4 linked regions of the Macaca fascicularis genome follow. The protein of the gene in region 1 purifies or fractionates together with the protein of each later gene. This does not show direct contact. Links are inferred from orthologs where the notes say so. Each region holds a gene or a part of one and is shown in the gene's direction. Other genes may lie near its edges. The genes, in order: PPM1K, BCKDHB, DBT and BCKDHA.

What was found.
Region 2: the proteins of PPM1K (region 1) and BCKDHB purify together in Homo sapiens (affinity purification with mass spectrometry; 3 studies listed by BioGRID and IntAct, counting the BioPlex papers as one, with this or other methods). This does not show direct contact. The link is inferred for Macaca fascicularis from reciprocal best matches to the Homo sapiens genes PPM1K and BCKDHB.
Region 3: the proteins of PPM1K (region 1) and DBT purify together in Homo sapiens (affinity purification with mass spectrometry; 4 studies listed by BioGRID and IntAct, counting the BioPlex papers as one, with this or other methods). This does not show direct contact. The link is inferred for Macaca fascicularis from reciprocal best matches to the Homo sapiens genes PPM1K and DBT.
Region 4: the proteins of PPM1K (region 1) and BCKDHA purify together in Homo sapiens (affinity purification with mass spectrometry; 4 studies listed by BioGRID and IntAct, counting the BioPlex papers as one, with this or other methods). This does not show direct contact. The link is inferred for Macaca fascicularis from reciprocal best matches to the Homo sapiens genes PPM1K and BCKDHA.

Annotation. Positions count from the first base shown.
Region 1 is NC_088379.1:93,822,995-93,828,130, reverse strand, and holds part of PPM1K (protein phosphatase Mn(2+)-dependent 1K), read left to right. Parts: intron 1-84; 5' UTR 85-143; coding exon 144-583; intron 584-1,486; coding exon 1,487-1,587; intron 1,588-1,949; coding exon of another isoform or gene 1,950-1,990; exon of another isoform or gene 1,991-3,799; intron 3,800-4,210; exon of another isoform or gene 4,211-4,316; intron 4,317-5,136. UniProt on the Homo sapiens protein: Serine/threonine-protein phosphatase component of macronutrients metabolism.
Region 2 is NC_088378.1:95,038,276-95,043,991, reverse strand, and holds the start of BCKDHB (2-oxoisovalerate dehydrogenase subunit beta, mitochondrial), read left to right. Parts: upstream 1-2,256; 5' UTR 2,257-2,267; coding exon 2,268-2,463; intron 2,464-5,716. UniProt on the Homo sapiens protein: Together with BCKDHA forms the heterotetrameric E1 subunit of the mitochondrial branched-chain alpha-ketoacid dehydrogenase (BCKD) complex.
Region 3 is NC_088375.1:134,204,291-134,208,859, forward strand, and holds the end of DBT (lipoamide acyltransferase component of branched-chain alpha-keto acid dehydrogenase complex, mitochondrial), read left to right. Parts: intron 1-811; coding exon 812-979; 3' UTR 980-3,211; downstream 3,212-4,569. UniProt on the Homo sapiens protein: The branched-chain alpha-keto dehydrogenase complex catalyzes the overall conversion of alpha-keto acids to acyl-CoA and CO(2).
Region 4 is NC_088393.1:48,539,062-48,544,951, forward strand, and holds the start of BCKDHA (2-oxoisovalerate dehydrogenase subunit alpha, mitochondrial), read left to right. Parts: upstream 1-2,140; 5' UTR 2,141-2,154; coding exon 2,155-2,262; intron 2,263-5,890. Other genes in the region: EXOSC5 (exosome complex component RRP46), read right to left, coding at 1,510-1,657. UniProt on the Homo sapiens protein: Together with BCKDHB forms the heterotetrameric E1 subunit of the mitochondrial branched-chain alpha-ketoacid dehydrogenase (BCKD) complex.

The DNA of each region.
Region 1 (5,136 bases):
CTCTCTCTCTCCCTCCCCCTTTTCTTCTCCTCCTCTCCCCCTCTCTCCCTCTGTCCCCTGCAACTTGCATCATTTTTCTTGAAGACATTCCATTATTGTTCCATTGACCTTTCCCTCATCACTGAGTCCTTTGGAGCTGAGTTATGTCAACAGCTGCCTTAATTACTTTGGTCAGAAGTGGTGGGAACCAGGTGAGAAGGAGAGTGCTGCTAAGCTCCCGCCTGCTGCAGGACGACAGGCGGGTGACACCCACGTGCCACAGCTCCACTTCAGAGCCTAGGTGTTCTCGGTTTGACCCAGACGGCAGTGGGAGTCCAGCTACCTGGGACAATTTTGGGATCTGGGATAACCGCATTGATGAGCCAATTCTGCTGCCACCCAGCATTAAGTATGGCAAGCCAATTCCCAAAATCAGCTTGGAAAATGTGGGGTGCGCCTCACAGATTGGCAAACGGAAAGAGAATGAAGATCGATTTGACTTCGCTCAGCTGACAGATGAGGTCCTGTACTTTGCAGTGTATGATGGACACGGTGGACCTGCAGCAGCTGATTTCTGTCATACCCACATGGAGAAATGTATTATGTATGTACAATGACTTTAACTCCTGACTTTGCAGTTCCCCCATGCTTCCTACTTAAACTTTCACCCTTTGACTGAGGCTTCCAGGGTAAACATAGTTACTTGAGTGATTGCATGCTGCTGCTTCATGAATGAGCAGTAGTTAAGTGTGCCATTTATTTCTTATGGTTATCACAATTTCAGAAATGCATGTTTTAACAACTCCCCTGGGGAAAGCATTAACCAAAATTTATAGCACTTAATTTGTGATTATTTTAAGTGAAGTGGCATAATGTACATGAGATAACCTATGAGAAGCATTTACTCCCATCAGTGTAGGATGTCTAAGTGCTTCAGTGAATGGTAATTACTCTTTCAAGTGGTGTGAATAGCTTTGAATACTTGACTTGTTGAAAATAGCTTTGGATGATTGGCATTAGTGTGGAAAAAATGCATTTAATGCAGGCATTTTGGAGCTCTTCAGTTTATTTACTTCAACTATTATTAATGCATTTTTGAGGATCACATTACTGCTAAAATCGAAAGAGGGAGAACATGTGATGGAGTTATGACCGTGTGACTATATTTGACTTCCCAGTGACCATTTCTTGACTTCCTGTGTATACCTCATTCCACGAAAGAACTCATAATAGGAAGGAACTCTTGACCTCTCAGAGTTGTGGTAGTAAGGATTAATTCTTCAAGGACAAGGACTTGGACTTTGATTTTTGTGCCCTTAAAAGCTTATCACAGTGCCTGATACTTAGTGGATTCTCAATAAGTATTCCTTAGCCAGTAAGTCTTCAGCATTTGACTGGAAAATCATGAGGCCCATTGTGTGGAATGACTGCTAGCTAGAGTAACAGTGAGGAGAGAAACCTATTGTAAAATGATTATTTGAGGCTCTTTTTTTTCCTCCCCACAAAGCGATTTGCTTCCTAAGGAGAAGAACTTGGAAACTGTGTTGATCCTGGCTTTTCTAGAAATAGATAAAGCCTTTTCGAGTCATGCCCGCCTGTCTGCTGATGGTATGTAAAACTGTCACATTCCTTGGGTCCTAGGGAGTATGTAGGGTGGGGGAGGAGTAAAAAGGCAACAATTTAAGTCCTTTGGGGGAGGGGATTTTAATGTACAATTGTTTGTAAGGATTTATATAGAAATGAGTTTATATGAAGATTCACATTAAATGCCATTGGGAATCCAAATTAATGTTAATACCTCACTTTTAAATGAAATATATTGGAGAGTTCTTCAGAAAGAGAAGCCCCAAAACAGTTCTGATGTTGTACTTTAGTTTTTAAAAGATTTAAAAAATGTTTAATCTGTTTGCTCATTTTATGGACAAAATGCCCATACTATGAGTTTTGTTTTGGGTTTTTGTTTTTTTTAGATGGATCTGGTGACCAAGTGCTGAAATACACTACAGGGTAATCACATTTAGCTAGGATAGTCATTGTCCAACAAGAAGAAAATTGCAAATAGGTCCTAAATAGAAAAAGACAATGGTTAATATGCACTAATTTGGATGATTAGAAGGAAAATATTTTTCTGTCACTTCTTGAAAAGCTCAATCTTGCAGCTTTCCTCTGGTAACTAGTGATATTTTCAGCATAAGGGCATGCTAGCTGAATTTAAAATTTTGTGTATACTGCATGTCCTTAAATTTTGAAAGTGAAATGTTTCTGGTTTTGCCTAAATTTATCAAAACAATTTCAGGAAAATACAGCAAATGTTTTCTAGTTAGCTAGCCTCAAATCTTTTGCTGTTAAAGTTAGCCCTGAAAATTTCTGTACCAGCGAAATCAATGTGTGCATGTAACCTTGTAAATGATTTGAAAATGAATCATGCAGTAATCTTGATCTATATTTGGTTCATCCTTTTCTAAAAAAACACAAAAAACAAAAAACCACATGCACCACAGAAATGTCATTTTCACAGTCTTCAGTTGGAATACATAAGGATAGAGATTCTCTGCATTTCATAGTGAAGGAACTGAAGATTAGAATGGTCAAGGTCAGTTCAGAGTTAGGGCTGAGATTTTCCTGACAACCAGCATTCTCTCTCTCCTCTCATGAGGAAAGGAGAAAGTAACTCTGGGATGGCTCTATTTGCCATCTTGAGATTTTTCCTGAGGTTTTTTTGAGAACCTTACTATCACAGTCCTCAGGAAAGCATTACAGTCCACTCTGTTCAGGGATATGTTTTCCATTTTGTAGATTATTTAGGCCCATTTTCTTTTCTCTCATTCCTTTGGAATTTTTTTTTTCTTTCAACTGGATCCTTACCTTTAAGAAGACAGAAGTTGAAAGAGGTAAACTTTATGCATAAGATTTAGCTCTTGTTCCAAATAGTTAAAACACATGAAGGAGAAGAGGAAATAGAATGTTTTCTTACAGTTTTATTTTTATTACTTCCTGAATTTTGGTACTCTCTTATTTCATATTAACCAAGTTGACTGTGAGTCTGGCTATGTCTTACCCCACAATGTTTATTGACTGTAGTGCCAGTGGTGTGCCCCAGCTGTTCTGTAAATAGCTGCAGCTTACTCGGCAAGGTTTTTGGATAAGAATGTCCAAATTTATCCCAGGCATGTGACCACCAACCAAAAACACTGACCTTCTTGGTGCCATCAGCCTTTTTTAAAAGTATCTAGTCAATGTAGATGCTTAAACCAAACAGTGATTGACTTGATGTAAAATATGACAGGACTCCTTTTATTATTGAATAAAGTATAACTCAATAGAATTTTGAACTTAAAAAATTTTATTAACTTGCCTATCTTAAAATAAACTTTCTAAAGATACCTTTGTCACAAAAACAATTAAACAGCCGTGTAAAGAAATTAATCACAAAAATGTAATTCATATGCTGACTTTAGCAGCACATACACTAAAATTGGAATGATACAGAGATCAGCATGGTCCTTGTGTAAGGATGGCACACAAGTGCAGGAAGCATTCCATATTTTTTATTCTTAATAAAATTAATTCATTTGTAATAAAGAAATTAAAATGCATTATTTAATTTAATTCCTCTGTCATATGCTTTGAGGTAGTGATCCCAGAACATTCTTAAGATATTTTAAAATGGATTTTTCTTATAATGGTAATTTGTTTGAAAGTATAATGGAGCAAGACAGGATGGTGCTCTTAGTGTGTACTACAAGAAAAAGTCTATTATAATATTGTTATTAAATCTTATTTTGTTAAATTGTTATTAAAATTTTATTTTGTTATTAAATCTTATTTTGTATATATTCTTATTGGTCTGTGTTTTTTAAAAATTAGTGTTTTGAGAACATTTAAAAATTTTATTCTTAATAAGTTGCCAAAGCCTTCAAAGATGGCAAAAATTGTCTTTTGATATTTAGGGCCTGTTTTATCAAATACATTAAAGCCATTAAAGATAGAATGCCATATGTTGTGTAACTGTTCAATTTGTGGATATTTTTAAATGTCATTTTATATTTCAAAGTTATTATTTAAGTTTAAAACTTTGGTTTTTAGCAAGAACTGAAGCAGTATCAGTATTATAAGAGTGGATAATATTCTTTTCAGCCTATGTATATAGATAGGACCAGTGCCAGTGAAACAAAATTTTGTAGTAAGTGCAGTTTACCCTCTCCAGTTTCTTTCATCTTTTCTCTTTTAGTATTAACCCCTTTCCCCTCCTCTTGAACCCTTCCTGTGAGGTGAAGGACTGTGGCTTATTCATTTTTGAATCTCCAGTATGCAGCACCCTGCATAGAACCTGGCAGGTACTCAATAATTATTTGGATTGAACTGAGATCTCCACTGCCTACTCTTTCTCACTGAAGTCACTGTAATTTTTTCTTTGATTATCATATAGCTGATTTAATCAAATTATTAATAAAATGTATGCATTTTAATGAGCTGTCACTCCTGGTGGATTTGAATTTTAATTAGCAGACACCTGAAAAAGGCTTAGTTAAACCATAGAAGTGAATCACTAATGTTGAGATTTTAGGTATAAAAGAGAGACGCGCCCCTCAGTCCTACTGAAGCAGCATTGTTTGTCTGACGTAATACTTGAGTTTCATTGTCTCATGCCAAGGAAATCAAGGACGAGGACACACAAGGAGTGAGGTTAAGAGTGGAGACTTAATAGGTGAAAGAAAGAGAAAAGCTCTCTCCTCAAAAAGAGAGGCCCCAAACAGATTTCTAGTCCATGGTGAAGTACAGTAGGCTTTATGGGTGAGCTTGAGGAGGCAGTGTCTGATTTACATAGGGCACAAAAGATTGGTTGGACCAGATGTGCCACTTGCATAGTACACGAAAAACTGGCTAGGGCTAGGTATGCCATTTGCATAGCACACAAAAAACTGGTTAGGGCTAGGTGTGCAATTTGCAGAGCGTTCAATAATCTGGCCACACCCACCCTAATCTTTTATTATGCAGATGGGTTCTCTACCTGGCCAGTGCCATGTTGCCCATTTCTTTACTGTACACATGGTGACAAAGAAAAGGGAAGATGGAGCATATTGAACATACTTGGCCCCAGGTAGCCCTTTTCTTTTACTTTCTTTCTTTTTTTTTCTTTTTTTTTCCGAGACAGAG
Region 2 (5,716 bases), on another chromosome or scaffold:
CAAATGTAATCACACTCTTCACCTTTTCTGGTTCACAAAATTACTGAAAACTCCCATTTTTTGCAGTTCCTAGTGGCATTTAAAGATAATCTGATCTTTGTTTCTAAAATACACTTCCAAAATTCCCAGAAAAGGACAGTTTCTCAAATTGAGTAAATGTGGCCAGGGCTAGGGGAACGGAGGAAAGTTCCATTCTAATAACATAGATATTTTCATGGTTACCAGGCAAATGGTGTGGTAGACATGGGGGAAATTAAAAAAATTAGTTTGCAAAGCAGATGAATCTGGCAAGTGCCCTCTTTGTTGTTCTTGGCTGCATATAGTTGAAATTTCAAACCTCTTAGACCAGCATACAAAGGCCTTCAAAATCTCCCTTTAATCTGTTTTTCCTACTTTTTCTGTTAACCCTGTCTCATTCCCTATACCCTGAATCTAGAAGGACCAAGCTACTTTCTCTTCCTGGAATGCACTGGGCTCTTCGTGCCTATCAGCCTTTGTACAAGTTTCTTCTTAGTTTGGAATGCCTTTTTCTCCCTAGTCTGGCTGGTAACTTCTAGTTATCTTTTAGGTCTAGCTCAGAGTTATATCTGGAAACACTTGACTTTCAAAGAATAATTTATTGCTTTTTTTGTGTTTCACTTTGTTGGCACTATTCTAGGACCCCTATCACATTGGATTGTAGTTGTCTAATCTGTCTCTTTTCTCTACCAACTTGAACATTTTAGAAGTAAAACTATGCCTTGATCGTATTTGTCTCAATGGTGGCTTGTCTTTGGGTTGTACATAGCAGAGGTTCAATAAAATTCTCATCAGTTATTATTTTTCCCTTTTTCTCCCCGACCTAAGTAATCTCAGTACCCCCAGCTCCCTAAATTATCAACAAATAGAAAAAAAGCTCTATTCGTTTTTATCCTTGTTCTTTACTCTCTTTAGTTTAAACCCAAATTTGACTATGTAAATGTAATTTCATTTTGTTACCCCTTTCCTTCATTAAAACAAAAATACCCTTCATGCACATGCAAAACACTCTATCCGACACTGTTAAAAGAGCAGAAATGAACACCAACAAAAGCCAAGATGAAAAATTTCCCCAATGTTGAATTTTTGGACTTAGCGTGGGAGTAGGAAAATGGAGACATAATTCTGGTTCTCCCTTTGGCAGTTTTCAATTGCTGTTTCTCAGTCTCAGTCAGAAAACACATCTCTCTGCCTTTCATTTCACCCCATTTCTACTTTCTCCTCCTTTGCCCCTATGCAAAACCAAAGATGGGTTGAGAGGCCAGGCATAATGGAAGAGGAACGTTCTTTTCTTCCACTCCTGCTTCATTCTCTCCCCCTTTCTTCTTCAAATTCTGTTTTGGGCCCATCCTTCCTCACCCTTCCAATTTCATCTGATGGACACGCTGTCACTGTTGTCTCTTGTCATATTTGATTTTATGATATTTCATGATTTTTTTTTTTTGGTAAATTCATGGACAGAGAATGTATCCTGGTAAACACTTAGATTAAAACAAATTTACACAGTTGATTACTATAAATGAAAATTAGTGACTCAAATTCTCCAGGTTTCTAAGCTGCTTAGACTAAGCCAATCAGGTAATTTTCGCTACTTCTGGGCAAAATGTATCTGAATCTATTCAGTGGATTTGCAGGACGAAATCTAAGTTTACCTCTTTCATCTCTCATTTAAATGCGGAAAAACAAAATTAATAAAAATCGATATATGCTTATTAAGCATTTTAAGGAGGATGTGAATAAGGAGCGGAGGCTTTGAGCAGTGACTACAGCAGTCAAAACCAATAACCAATGCCAATCAGTAGCTCTTTTCACCTCTCACACAATAATAGAGACAGGAGAGGATAAAAAAGGGTGACATTAAAAAAAGTATGGATGTTAAAATGAAAAAAAACATTGGAAATGGCACTGTAAATGACACCGCAAAAGATCGCCTCCAGGCACTGTGTGGAGCTTCGCAGACTCGGGTACTCACCCGAGGGCCGCAGGACGGACCTCGGGGAGGCTCCGCCCCAGAAACTATTTCATGGGCGCCCCCACCGCCCAACACTTCCCCTCTTCCGCATGCGCACAAGGAGCAGGAGCCGGTCAGCTCGTCACGTCGCCTTCCCCGCCCCTAAATTTCCAGTTCCGATTGGTCCGTTTCATGGGACCGCCCCTCTGGCCCGACCATTGTGAAAGCCTCCTCGGGTGCTCCGCCCTCCCCGCGGGCTGCGTGCGGCATCGCCTGCGAACCCTGGCGGTGAGCGGGGATGGCGGTTGTGGCGGCGGCTGCAGGCTGGCTGCTCAGGCTTAGGGCGGCAGGGGCTGAGGGGCACTGGCGTCGGTTCTGTGGCGTGGGGCTGGCGCGGGGATTTCTGCACCCCTCCGCGACTGTCGAGGATGCGGCCCAGAGGCGGCAGGTGGCTCATTTTACTTTCCAGCCAGATCCGGAGCCCCGAGAGTACGGTGAGCCAGGGACTGCCCACTCGGTCCCGCTGTAGCCCGGACTCCCAGGCTCGCAGGCGCCCGCGAGGGGCAGGGGCCGGCAGGCTGCAATCCTTGCATCCTAGCTTATTAACTGCCTTACCCTCTGGAACCTCCTTGCCCCAGGGTCTAACTGTGATTCACTTCTTGCTCTATTTTTGTGAGTGTTCCGCTCCAGAGACGCAGTCCCCCCTCCCTCGCACCTTTGTGATGGGTGAGAGGGCATACTGCCACCTGGAAGGGCCTGAGGGTGGAGGGGTGGTGCCCAGGGAACGCCCCCCCTTTCTCTCTCCTCCATCCTTACTTTCTCAACCTAGACCTTAGGTGTTGTTCCAGCCTGCCCGGGACTGGGTCACTAGCTTAGGTAGAGACATTAAAAAAAAAAAAAAAAAAAAAAAAATATATATATATATATATATATATATATATATATATAATCAATTCTATTACTCAGTTCCTTGGTTTCTTCTTACCTACAGAAATGTGTGTGTGTGTGTGTGTGTGTGTATATGTCCCTTGGTTTCTTCTTACCTAGAGAAATACATATATATATATCCCTTGGTTTCTTCTTACCTATAGAATTTCTGCAGGTAAGAAGAAACCAGGGGACTGAGTAATTGAATTGATTTTCCCAAGGTCACAGAACAGGTTCTTCCTAGAGATCCAGACTTTCTACTTAAGCTTAGTACTGAGCTTGTCCTGGGCTATGCTGCCACTTAGCCAAGGAGGTGAAGGTGATAGGAGGAGGAAGCCATAGGAAGGGTATGTAGCAAACTCCTCATAGTATGACTATTGCATGATTTTTACCATTTCTGCAAGTTTCATGTAATGTCTCTTATCAGAATATCAGATCCAGTGTCTCTCATCAGAATATCAGGAAACTAGGTAAACATGTATTGCTTCCTTGTCTAATAACTTCTCACGTGCATGCTAGAGCTGACATTTTTGGAAGTGTGTCTTTTCTTGTGGATAAGAATGAACATTTATTGAGTGCTTACCAGGGTCAGGCACTGTGTGTATGTTTCATCCTCTCATTTAAGGGTTAGGACAACCTTAAAAGGTTGGTAAAGTTTTTATTCCCATTTTGCAGTTAGATTAATGGAAGTCTTGAGACAGTTTGTCCAAGATTACACGGATAAATTAGTGGTAGCTCCAGAGCTCCAGCTTTGGAATCTAATTGATCAGATTCCAGAGCTTCCATTCTAAACAATGTACTAAGATGCATGTAGATATAATTTACTAGGAGGGTGTCCCAGTATTGTGAAACAGTAGGTACCATAAAGGTTAATAGTAGGTTTTTTTTTTTCCACCACCAAGATGAGCCCTCAATTCTGTCTTGAAAGCAAAGAATAATCCACCTTTCCATAGTTGTAAATTTACTAAAATCTAAGTAAAATGATATCATGTTATCGTGATATATATCATGATATATATAAACTTGTTCTTATTTTAAAAATAATACAAACATATTACAGGTAATTTGGATAATGGAGAAAAAGTAAAAAAAAAAAAAAAAAAAAAATCTGCTGGGCGCAGTGGCTCACGTCTGTAATCCCAGCACTTTGGGAGGCCGAGGTGGGTGGATCACCAGGTCAAGAGATCGAAGCCATCCTGGCCAACATGGTGAAACCCTGCCTCTACTAAAGATAAAAAAATTAGCTGGGCGTGACAGCGCACGCCTGTAGTCCCAGCTACTTGGGAGGCTGAAGGAGGAGAATCGCTTGAACCCGGGAGGCGGAGGTTGCAGTGAGCTGATATCGTGCCACTGCACTCCAACCTGGCGACAGAGCAAGACTCCGTCTCAAGAAAACCCCAAAAACCAACCAACCAAACAAAAATCGCCATCCACTACTAACATTTTGGGTGTATCCTTACAGGTATTTCCTTTTAGTTTAGTATTTTCCGTACTTTTAGTTTTAATACAAATACAACTTATTTAGTCAGAAGGATAATCCTATCATTCTCTGGAGTTTTTATAACCTTCTTGAGAATTTAGAAGAAATGTTCCATGGAGTAGAGATGCTACAAGTCTTTTACAAGTTAAATTCTTGACTTCGGAATCAGATTGTCCTAAAGTTGATCTTGTCTTGGCTATCTATAACTTTGGAGTTATCACTTATCTTCTATAAGCCTCAGTTTCTTTATATGTAAGGGGTTAATAATAATACCTACTTCAGAAGGTTGTTCTGAGAGCTACATAAAACAATGTCTATAATATACTTAACACTGTTTGACAACTGAGAGTCAAGCATTCACTCAATAAGTGGAACCTTTAATTACCATTATGTTTTTGTTGCTAAAGTTTTGCAGTTTTATAAATAATGCAGATATAAGCATTTAATGCGTATGGGTTTTATGTATCTGAGATGATTTCTTTAGGATAGAGTCCTGAATGCTTTAGTGGATTTTAAGTGCATAGTTCAAATTTATACACTAGTTCATACCCCATAACATGTATAATAGTGTGAGTATTGGATATTAATGCTAAAATTAGGTGTGTTCATGTACACTTTTGGATATTTTGTGCTACCTGTACTTTGTTTTAATTTTTGTTTCATTTCCGTTGAGGAATATTTTCCCATGTTTTTGTTAACGTGATTTATTTTTACTTAAGAATTGAGTATTAGATGTGTTTACATATTTTTAAAAGTATACTCAGTATTTTTCCTATCAATACTATCTACCATTATTGCATAGTTGCTCTTTTCCAGGTGTTGTGTTAGACATCAGTTTATAATCCTCACAGTAACCTTGTGAGCTAGACAATATTATGCTCATTTTAAAGATGAGAAAATTGAGGCTCAGAAATGTTGGTACTTGCCCGAGTCTGGTAAGTAGCAGAGCCAGAGTTTGCATCCTGAGGTGTCTGACTCCAAAGTCTTCCATACTACTTATATACTAAGATTTTTGTCTATTAAAAAATATTGAAGAAGATACTAACTTTCTGCTTTTCACGTGTGCTGCAAATACTTTTCATTCTTTTATTTTGGTTGTTTTGACATATAAAAGGTACTGCTGAAACAGGAGGTGGTCAGATTAGACTCTGAGTTGGTGACACTTACGCTGCTTTATGCTGGCATGTTTGCTCCCTTTATTACACTGTGTTGTTCTCCGAGAACAGTTCATCTTGGCTTCTCCATGCCCCTGATTCTTGGGCATTGTATGGATGTGAGTTTGTTTATTCAGTCATTCTATGCATTTTTATTTTCTCCTGGTTGCCATACTCTCTGCTAGC
Region 3 (4,569 bases), on another chromosome or scaffold:
GCCATGAGGAGATCAGTATAGAAAAACAGAGTAGGGCTTAGAAACTTTTATAGCAGTTTGACAGCATGATTTTATGTCTATTGAATCTAATAATCAGTTGGGGCTTATATTTTGTCTATCCTTTTTTTTTTTTTAACAGTGAAAAGATACATATTTAGAATTAGCCAGCTGGGCTCATTTTAGGTGATCCCAATTTTGTTGGCAACATCCAAAGCATTGTAATCAGGAGCCAACAGAATATATGCCTTCCTCTCTCCATCAGGCCTGACCACAGTGTTGACCTTGGCCCCATCAGTGTCATAGAGCTTCTTCACAGCGTGTTTGATCTGGTGCTTACTGGCTTTAACATCCACGAAGAACACAAGCATGTTGTTGTCCTCTGTCTTCTTCCTGGCCAACTCAGTGGTCAGGGGAGCTTGAGAATGGCTTGTTTCCTCACTGCCTTCAGTGAGGAAGCCTTATTTAATTGTCTGTCTCTCCCCAGAGCCCAGAAGAGTACTTGGCACATAGTGGGTATACAGTAAAAAATTATTAAATATTTAAAATCTGAGATGAAAGTTAATGAATGTAGGTACAGGAATTGTACAAGGGATAGGAAGTACCTTGGAGAACTTCTGAAAGCTCCAGGCACATACTCGAAGATGGGAAGAATAGGAGTCAGCATTTTCAAAAGTCATTGGGGATGCCCATTTTTTTCTCTACTGTAGGAAGAAGGGTTTGCTTGATCTTACACCATTGTTAGAGCTTGAGCTTTGAGCAAGTGAGGGTTTACTCTTTGTTTTTTTTTTTTTTTTCTATTTTTCATTTCTAGGCCATTCCCCGATTTAACCAGAAAGGAGAAGTATATAAGGCACAGATAGTGAATGTGAGCTGGTCAGCTGATCACAGAGTTATTGATGGTGCTACAATGTCACGCTTCTCTAATTTGTGGAAATCCTACTTAGAAAACCCGGCTTTTATGCTACTAGATCTGAAATGAAGACCGATAAGACATTCTTGAACTTTTTGAGCTTCCAAAGAGTATGTAAACCCTAGCTGTGCCAGCACATGTTCATCTTTACAATTTGTATTGTAAATGATTTGTATCGTATGATTAAGGATCTAAGGTACAATATTTGTCACTGTTCTATTAGACTTTTTACTGAAAATGAATAATGGGGTAATAGTTCTCCTGGGGCTGTCACATTTTATAGGTCAGAGTGTGACTTCTTAATACGGTGCTGACATTTTTGTGTCAATGACTTGAAACTGGCAAGATTAACAAAATTAGGCAGGGCGTGGTGGCTCACGCCTGTAATCCCGGCACTTTGGGAGGCCGAGGTGGGCAGATCACCTGAGGTTAGGAGTTCGAGACCAGCCTGGCCAACATGGTGAAACCCCGCCTCTACTAAAAATATAAAAATTAGCCAGGTATGGTGGTGGGTGCCTATAATCCCAGCTACTCGGGAGGCTGAGGCAGGAGAATCGCTTGAACCTGGGAGGTGGAGGTTGCAGTGAGCTGAGATCGTGCCATTACACTTCATCCTGGGCAACAGAGCAAGACTCTGTCTCAAAAACAAAAAAAACAAAATTAATGTTACTAAAAGACAGGTAGCCATATACAGACAGTATATGCCCTATTTTTTTTAACTGATTCTTAATGACACTTTTTAATTATACTTAAGAAATGGAATTTATATGCAAAAATATTTCCCATTTCCCTGTTATGCTAATTGTTGTATAAAATAAGTGCAATTATACTTCTCTTTGGAGATATCCAAGAGTATATTCTTGCTCTGTATAGAGAACATCATCTGTAAATGTCTTATTTATATTAATTAATGTCTTTGAAAAGGGAAAAGTATAAACTGGCCTTAAAAATGTCCAATTATAGTTTTATAACCAGTCTATTAAAGGTGTTCGTTTAAAATGGATATACTTTTAGATTTTTGGTAATGGTTTGGTATTTTCTTGGGAAAGACCTTCACCTTTGCAAACTTCCCTCATGTAAGGAAGGTACTTTAAAGGTAGCAGCCACTGACTTTTCTTTTTTTTTTTTTTTTTAATTTCAGAAATCTACTTCCTTTTAACTTTTAGCTAAAAAATAGGATAAGAAATTAAGGTCTATTCCATTCTTCATATCCTGGGTAAGAATGTAAATAAGAGGAGAAGGAAGAATCTAATAGTAATTATGGATATAAAAAATACGAAATTTTATATAGAAATGAAGGTTTGATAATGATCATTTTGCTAAAGGTCTACTTTAATCAGAAATAGCATCAAGATTAATGTATCCAACATTTCCATTTGCATTCGGAAATCCATGTTGTTTCTAATATTGTCCAGTTGAAAACTGTATGCCAAAATTAGTTGTTTAAGTGAAGTTTTGTGACAGAAAAAAGGTTGTTTTAGTATCTACTTGGTTTTTCTCAAAATGGAAATAATTTTTAAATCAGGAAAGAATACATCAGCCAGGTGTGATGACTTGTAATTGTAATCCCAGTTATAGGAGAGGCCAAAGCAGGAGGATCACTTGAGGCCAGGAATTTGAGACCAGCCTGGGCAACATAGTGAGATCCCATCTCAAAAAAATTTTTTTTTAAATTAGCCTGGTGGCTCACGCCTGTAATTCCAGCACTTTGGGAGGCCAAGGCGGGCAGATCACCTGAGATCTGGAGTTCAAGACCACCCTGGCCAACATGGTGAAATCCCGTCTCTACAGTTTTGTAAAAATACAAAAAATTACCTGGGCCTTGCGGCGCACGCCTGTAGTCCCAGCTACTTGGGAGGCTGAGGCAGGAGAATTGCTTGAGCCCGACAGGTGGAGGTTACAGTGAGCAGAGATCACACCACTGCACTCCAGACTGGGCAACAGAGCAGCACTTTGTCTCCAAAAAAAAAAAAACTTAGCCATGTGTGGTGGTTTGCATCTGTAGTCCCAGCTACTCAGGAAGCTGAGACAGGAGGATCAATTGAGCCCAGGAGTTCAAAGCTGTAGTGAGCTGTCATTGTGCCACTATCCTCCGGTGTGGGTGACAGAGTGAGACCTGGTCTCTTAAAAAAAAAAAAAAATAGGTCAAATAAATGCTGTTATTGTAAAATTTCAGATAATACAAAGAGTTAACCAATAAAATAAAAAATCATTCATAATCTTACCACTATTAACATTTTGATGTATGTATCTGTATATATGGCTATTCTTTTTTATTAAAACAGGATCATAGTATAGCTACTATTTTATTATTTGATTTTTAAAATATAACATTATATTATGGGTAACCTTACATGTCAATAAACAATTCCACATTATCATGCTTTAAATGGCTGCATAGGCTGGGTGTGGTGGCTCACGCCTGTAATCCTACCACTTTGGGAGGCCAAGGCAGGTGGATCACAAGGTCAGGAGTTCGAGACCAGCCTGGCCAATATGGTGAAACCTCATCTCTATTGAAAATACAAAAATCAGCCAGGCATGGTGGCGGGCACCTGTAGTCCCAGCTACTCAGGAGGCTGAGGCAGGAGAATTGCTTGAACCAGAGGCGGAGGTTGCAGTGAGCCAAGATCGCGCCACTGCACTCCAGCCTGGATGATAGAGCGAGACTCTGTCTCAAAATAAATAAATAAATAAATGCCTGCATAGTATTCCATTGTATGCATTTATTATACATTCAAACATTAAACATCTACCATACCATGAGCTGAGATTGTGCCATTGCACTCCAGCCTGGGCAACGGAGCAAGACTCTCTCTCTCTCTCTCTCTCTCTATATATATATATATATGTATATATATACACACACACATACACACAGGCACGCACACACACATACACACACACACACATATCCAGGACAGCTTTTGATTTGTCTTTCTTGGTTCATGTGCCTGTCATTGTGGGCAGGAGAATAGAATACTCTGTCCACACTTGAGTCTTATGGTCACCTTTGGAGCCTAGGAGTCAGCCATCCTCATTCAACTACATGAATCGAGAATGGGAATCTGGGAGAAATTTTTTCTGGGCAGATTAAAAAGGAAATGAACTATGTAAAGTGAGGCATTGCCTTCCCACCCCATCCCACCTCAGTTCATGTTAAATTATGAATTTTTCTAAGAGAGTTCTTTAATGACGTGGATAGAGAGGAAGCTGAGGTAGCAGTAGAGTAAGGAGTGGAAGGCAAATACACAAGATACTACTAAACTGTGAGGCTGTTTGTTGCAATTGCAAGATTTTATAATTTCTCCAACAAAGAACATTTGTATTTTCTTCCCGGTTTAAGTTCAATGTTAATTTGAGAAATAATTCTACTCTCAAACTTCATGCTGTGCTGACAGTTCAACTGATGCTGTCAAAATACGAATTACTAGTTTCAGTATTCTCTATTCATCTGATTTTTCTTAAAATGGTTGCATGTTAATATACTTACTAACTTTAATGCTCTACTCTTATACTGGCACCTTAATTGTGGTAAAAGGAAAAAGGTTAAGTTAAAATTTCCAAGCCTAGTTATTTGGTCAAACAGAAGATTAACAGAACTCCATGGCTTACCATAGGGATATTTATCAAGAGAAAAAGAAGATACATATTTGAAT
Region 4 (5,890 bases), on another chromosome or scaffold:
CTTCTCTTGGCCCCAGGTCACCACCCTCTCCCGGTTTCCCCCTAAGTCTCTGGGCGTTCCTTCTGAGTCTCCTTTAGCTTGCTTGTCACAAGTCCCTGACTGCTCAAGTTGGAAGGCCTAGGGCTTGGTCCTGGGACCTCTTTTCCATCTACACTGACTTCGTTCAGTCAATAGGCTGAAATACCATATATACAGCCAGAGAGTTCCAAATTGCCTATGTCCAGCTTGGGTCTCTCTCCTGATTTCCAGACTTGTACAGATCTGGGCAGAAACCTTAGTTATGCCTGACTCTTTTTCCTCGCACTCAAACCAAACTATAGGTAAGTTTTGTCCGTTTTACTTTCAAACTACATCCAGAATCTCATCACCTCCACTACTCCTGTTCTGGCTGGAGCCACCATCACCTCCCTGTTTTCCCCCATACTCCCCACAATCAACACAGCAGCCAGATTTTGTTAAAATGTATTGGGGCTGGGCGTGGTGGCTGGTACCTATATGAGCACTTTGGGAGGAGGACTGCTTGAGTCCAGGAGTTCAAGACCAACCTGGGCAACATCGTGAGACCCTGTCTCAAAATTTTTTTTTTTTTTTTTGAGACAGAATCTTGTTTTGTCGTGCACACTGGAGTACAATGGCACAATCTTGGCTCACTGCAACTTCTGCCTCCTGGGTTCAAGAGATTCTCCTGCCTCAGCCTCCCCAGTAGCTGGGATTACAGGCGCCCACCACCATGCCTGGCTAATTTTTGTACTTTTAGTAGAGTCGGGGTTTCGCCATGTTGGCCAGGCTGGTCTCGAACTCCTGACCTCAGGTGATCCACCCGCCTTGGCCTCCCAAAGTGTGGGGATTACAGGCGTGAGCCACTGTGCCCAGCCTCCTGTCTCAAACGTTAAAGAGAAATATTCTTGGAGTTAATCTGGTTCTGAGAGTTATTTAGCTAGGGGAAGGGGATATTTGCCCTATAGGTAAGACTTGCCCTAATCTTAGGGATATTTACTCCTGTGGAGAGATGCAGTGAGGTAGCGGTGGGGATGTATTTTTCAACCCAGGGCAGTGACATTATCTTCAATTTGAGGAGTATTTACGTGGGTGAAAGATCCGCCACAGTCCAGAGTATGCAAATTGACAGGTTTGCGTCAGTCCGGGATGCAAGGACCTAGCGGGCGTGTGTGTGGGGCGGGCGGGGGCGGGGGTGAGGAGGAGGAACCTAGTTAAGGGCGATATTTACCCTGGTGAGGTGATTTTCCCTATTCTGAAATATCAATTCTTGCGGGGACGGTCTGCCCCGCCTGTCATTCTCAGACATATTTACAAAGATGGAGCTATCTTCTCCTTTCTAGTCGTGAGGGAGAGATGTATGTATCCCTGCGTATGTAGTAGTATTCAATCGGACAAGAAATCATGTATCAACGCAGGAGTGACATTTACCAGCTGGTATCATGGGGAGATGGGCACTCCGTTGCACGGTACATGGTAGTCCCTCTCCAAAAGACCTGGGTAAGTTCTTACCTTGCAGGAAGGAAGCAGAGCCATCTGGCCGCGACAGCAGGTTCTGTTCGCAGGCAAAGTGCCGGAGGCTGCAGCCGGGACCCCGAGGGCTGCACCCTGTTCCAATTTCAGCGCGGATTTTGGCGTCAGTATGCATCTCCTCCTCCATCGCGCCGACCCCACGTGCGGCTGCGATTATCACTTCCGCCCGGCAGCGCGCGCTGCGAACACTCTGCGTAACCATTGCGCACGCGCTGGGCTCGGCCGTCAGTCCTGGCGTCCGCACGTGGCTTAGCGTTTACCAACAATCTGGCTCCGCCCAGTCCCACCTCCTAACTCTGGCAACGCCATTGGACAGTTGAGAACAGGAGGCAGGCCTTGGCAGTGACCTGTTTTACTCTGGGCCCCCGGGCCCTAAATCCCTGAGGCCGTGGTCAGGTTGCCCTCTTCTTTGCCTGTTACAGGAGTAACTACAATGAGGCGACTGGGGAAAATTTTGGGTAGATAGGTTTTCTTCTCCAAATCTCTGTGCATTCTATCTACAACAGAATGGGAAGAAGGTGATTTTCTTGTCAGATGGTGCTGGAGTTTGTGTCAGGCACATAAAGGGGCAGCCCCGAATCTAGCCTACGTGAGTGCCCTACCGCTGAGTGGTTGCTAGCCAAGATGGCGGTAGCGATCGCTGCAGCGAGGGTCTGGCGGCCAAACCGAGGCCTGAGCCAGGCTGCCCTCTTGCTGCTGTGGCGGCCTGGGGCTCGGGGATTGGCTAGATCTGTGAGTACCTGGGCCCCAGGGGGTTTTCCCAAAGGGGATTAGGGATGTAAAGGCTATCTTCAGAGTGTGGGGTCCCTGAAGGATATGAAGGAAGGGCTGTCACAGAAGGGAAAAAGTGGGAGACCCCTTGGAGAAGACACCGAAGGGAAGATCTGCCACTTCCTTAGAAGAAAAGAACTTCCACTTCTTCAGGAGAGGACAAAACCCGTTTGCAACTTCTTTGTGGGCCCTGAGGGAGGGAGACGACTTGAAGAGAGGGATGGGAGTTCCTTATTTATTTATTTAGTTAGTTTTTGAGGCGGAGTCTGGAGTGCAGTGGCCGGATCTCAGCTCACTGCAAGCTCTGCCTCCCGGATTCACGCCGTTCTCCTGCCTCAGCCTCCCGAGTAGCTGGGACTACAGGCGCCCGCCGCCACCCCCGGCTAATTTTTTTTTTTTTTTTTGCATTTTTAGTAGAGACGGGGTTTCACTGTGTTAGCCAGGATGGTCTCGATCTCCTGACCTCGTGATCCGCCCACCTCGGCCTCCCAAAGTGCTGGAATTACAGGCGTGAGCCAGCGCGCCCGGCCGGGGGTTCCTTATTAACTGCCACTCGTATTCAGGGGAGGTTCCTTGGAGGGACAGGGGAAGACCGCGAGACCTTTTCCCTCAGGCTTTGGAGAATGAAACTGACTTTATAAAGGAGAGACTTTCTTCTGGGCAAAGATCCCTCTTCAAGAAGAAGAAAGAAGAGAGCAAGTCCCCTTATCGCAGGCTGCATAGGGCCTTGTATTTCTTTGCTCCTTTGCCACAATTCTGATTTTAAAATGAATTGTGTAAAAATTTTGTTTGGTTCCTGTGTCTCCTGATCGAATATCAAGACAGGGAACTCGTGTGTTCTGGACACTGTACAGAGGAGATGATTAATATTTGTTGAGTTAATGAGGGGAAAAACGGAGGGACAGAGGTACAGATAGGGCACTTTGCCCACATTTCTTAGAAACACTTGAGAAGGCTTTGTTTCTTGTCAAAAGGGTCACAATCCCTTCAGGTGGATGCTGTCAAAATTACACTGCAAAAAACCTGGGTGGAAGCCTCTCTTTAGAGGGGGAGAGGCAAGGGGTTGCAGAAGAGCTTTGAACTACATTTGACAGATAGGAGAGTAGTGGTTACATGGGTGGGTTCGTGTCCTTGCTCTGCCACTTTCCACTTGTGTATTGGGCAACGGACTGCACCTCTCTGGATCTATGGACCTAATTTCCCTCTCTAAAATATTAACAGTGGCCACCTCATAGGACTGTGAAAAATTAATATGTAAAATGCTAAGGACTGGACCTGGCACATCATAAGGGCAATAGGAATGTTGGTCATTGTTGATAGTGAGGGTAGAGGGAAAGGACAGAAACTGACGTTGGAGATGGGGAGAAGAAAAGGGTGACCTTGGGAAGGCCTGGACTGGTGAGGCCCTGCGGAAAAAAATCTTAAAAGATCTTGTGAGGTTGAGTCTGATCCTCTGATCCCCAATCCATAAGGAGGAGAAGATGGAATCTGTAGAAAGAAGCTCTGGGTAGGGGGACAAACGGGAGGAGGGTGAAGAGGATGGGCCGGGAGTAGGACGTAGTAGGTATCTAGGAATGGAGTCACTTGAAACAGGTAAATGCAGAAGGGCTGCAGGAGCAAGATGTGGGTAGGGCAGTCTCCTGCCTTTGGGCTGGAGACCTTTTCACTTTTTTTTTTTGGAGCAGTTCATATCCTCCACCGCTGATCTCAGTCCCAGGAGCCTATTGGCTGGGCAACTGGGGCGGGAAGTGGGCAGGACTGGGGCAGGGTAGGGAAAGGTCATTTAAGGCTGATTAAATCTTTCTCTCCTGTCTCAATCTCCTGATTACCTTTCCTCTTGCTTCCCCTCCTTCATTTGTGGTGAGGAATGGGGAGGGAAGAAGTCCCTACTTTTAATTTTTTAATATATCTTTAAATTTGTATTATCTTAGAGTTATTGTTTTTTCCCCTTTATTTCTCCCACCTGTTCTTTCTCTCTTCTTTCTTTCCTCTCCTTCTCTTCTCCTCTCCTCCTCCCCTCCCCTCTCCTTTTTCTTTTCTTGTCTTGTCTCGTCTTGTCTCTTCTCTTTTTGTTGCTCTCTTTCTTTCTGTACCTCTTTCTCTCTTTTCTTTTTCTTTTTTCTTTTTTTTCTTTTTCTTTTCCTTTTTTTTGAGACAGAGTTTCGCTCTCTTGCCCAGGCTGGAGTGCAGTGGCGTAATCTTGGCTTACTGCAACCTCTGCCCACTGGGTTCAAGCAATTCTCCTGCCTCAGCCTCACTAGTAGCTGGGATTACAGGCGTGCACTATCACGCCTGGCTAATTTTTGTATTTTTGGTAGAGATGGGGTTTCACTATGTTGTCCAGGCTGGTCTCGAACTTCTGGCCTCAAGTGATCCGCCTGTCTTGGCCTTGAAAGTCATGAGCCACTGCACCCAGCCTTTTCTTTCTTTTTTTGAGACAAGGTCTCACTCTGTTGCCTAGGCTGGAGTGAGTGCAGTGGTATGATCATGGCTCACTGCAGCCTCAACCTCCTGGGCTCAAGCAATCCCCCCACCTCAGCCTCCTAAGTAGCTGGGACCACAGGCACATGCTACCATGCCTGGCTGATTTTTAATTTTTTTTTTTTTTTTTTTTTTTTTGAGATGGAGTCTTGCTCTGTTGCCGAGGCTGGAGTGCATTGGCACAATCTTGGCTCACTGCAACCTCCACCTCCCAGGTTCAAGTGATTCTCCTGCCTCAGCCTCCTGAGTAGCTGGGACTACTGGCGTGCACCACTGTACCCAGTTAATTTTTGTATTTTTAGTAGGGATGGAGTTTCACCATGTTGACCAGGCTGGTCTTGAACTCCTGACCTCAGATGATCTGCCCGCCTTGGCCTCCCAAAGTGCTGGGATTACAGGCATGAGCCATCGCGCCCGGCCGCGCCCAGCTAATTTTTAAATCTTTGTAGAGATGGAGTTTTGCCATGTTGTCCAGGCTGATCTCGAACTCCTGGACTCAGGCAATCTTCCTGCCTCAGCCTCCCAAAATGCAGGATGACAAGCGTGAGCCACCTTGTCTGGGCATATTATTCAATTATGAGTTTAAGTAGCCACAAGTGGGCTGGGCGCGGTGGTTCACGCCTGTAATCCCAGCATTTTGAGAGGTCAAGGTGGGCAGGTTGCGTGAGGTCAGGAGTTCGAGACCAGCCTGGCCAACATGGTGAAACCCTGTCTCTACTAAAAATACAAAAAAATTAGCCTGGCATGGTGGTGTGTGCCTGTAATCCCAGCTACTTGGTAGGCCAAGGCAGAAGAATTGCTTGAACCTGGGAGGCGGAGGTTGCAGTGAGCTGAGATCGCGCCACTATTCCCCAGCCTAGGTGACAGAGCAGCCCTTTGTCTCAAAAATAAAATTAATAGCCCAAGTGGTTGGTGGCTGCCATATTAGATGGTGCAGGGTTTTTTGTTTTGTTTTGTTTTTTGTTTTTTTTTTGCGATGGAGTTTTGCTCTTATTGCCTAGACTGGAGTGCAATGGCAGGGTCTTGGCTCACTACAACCTCCTCTTCCTGGGTTCAAGCGATTCTCCTGCCTTATCCTCCCGAGTAGCTAGGATTACAGGCAAGCACC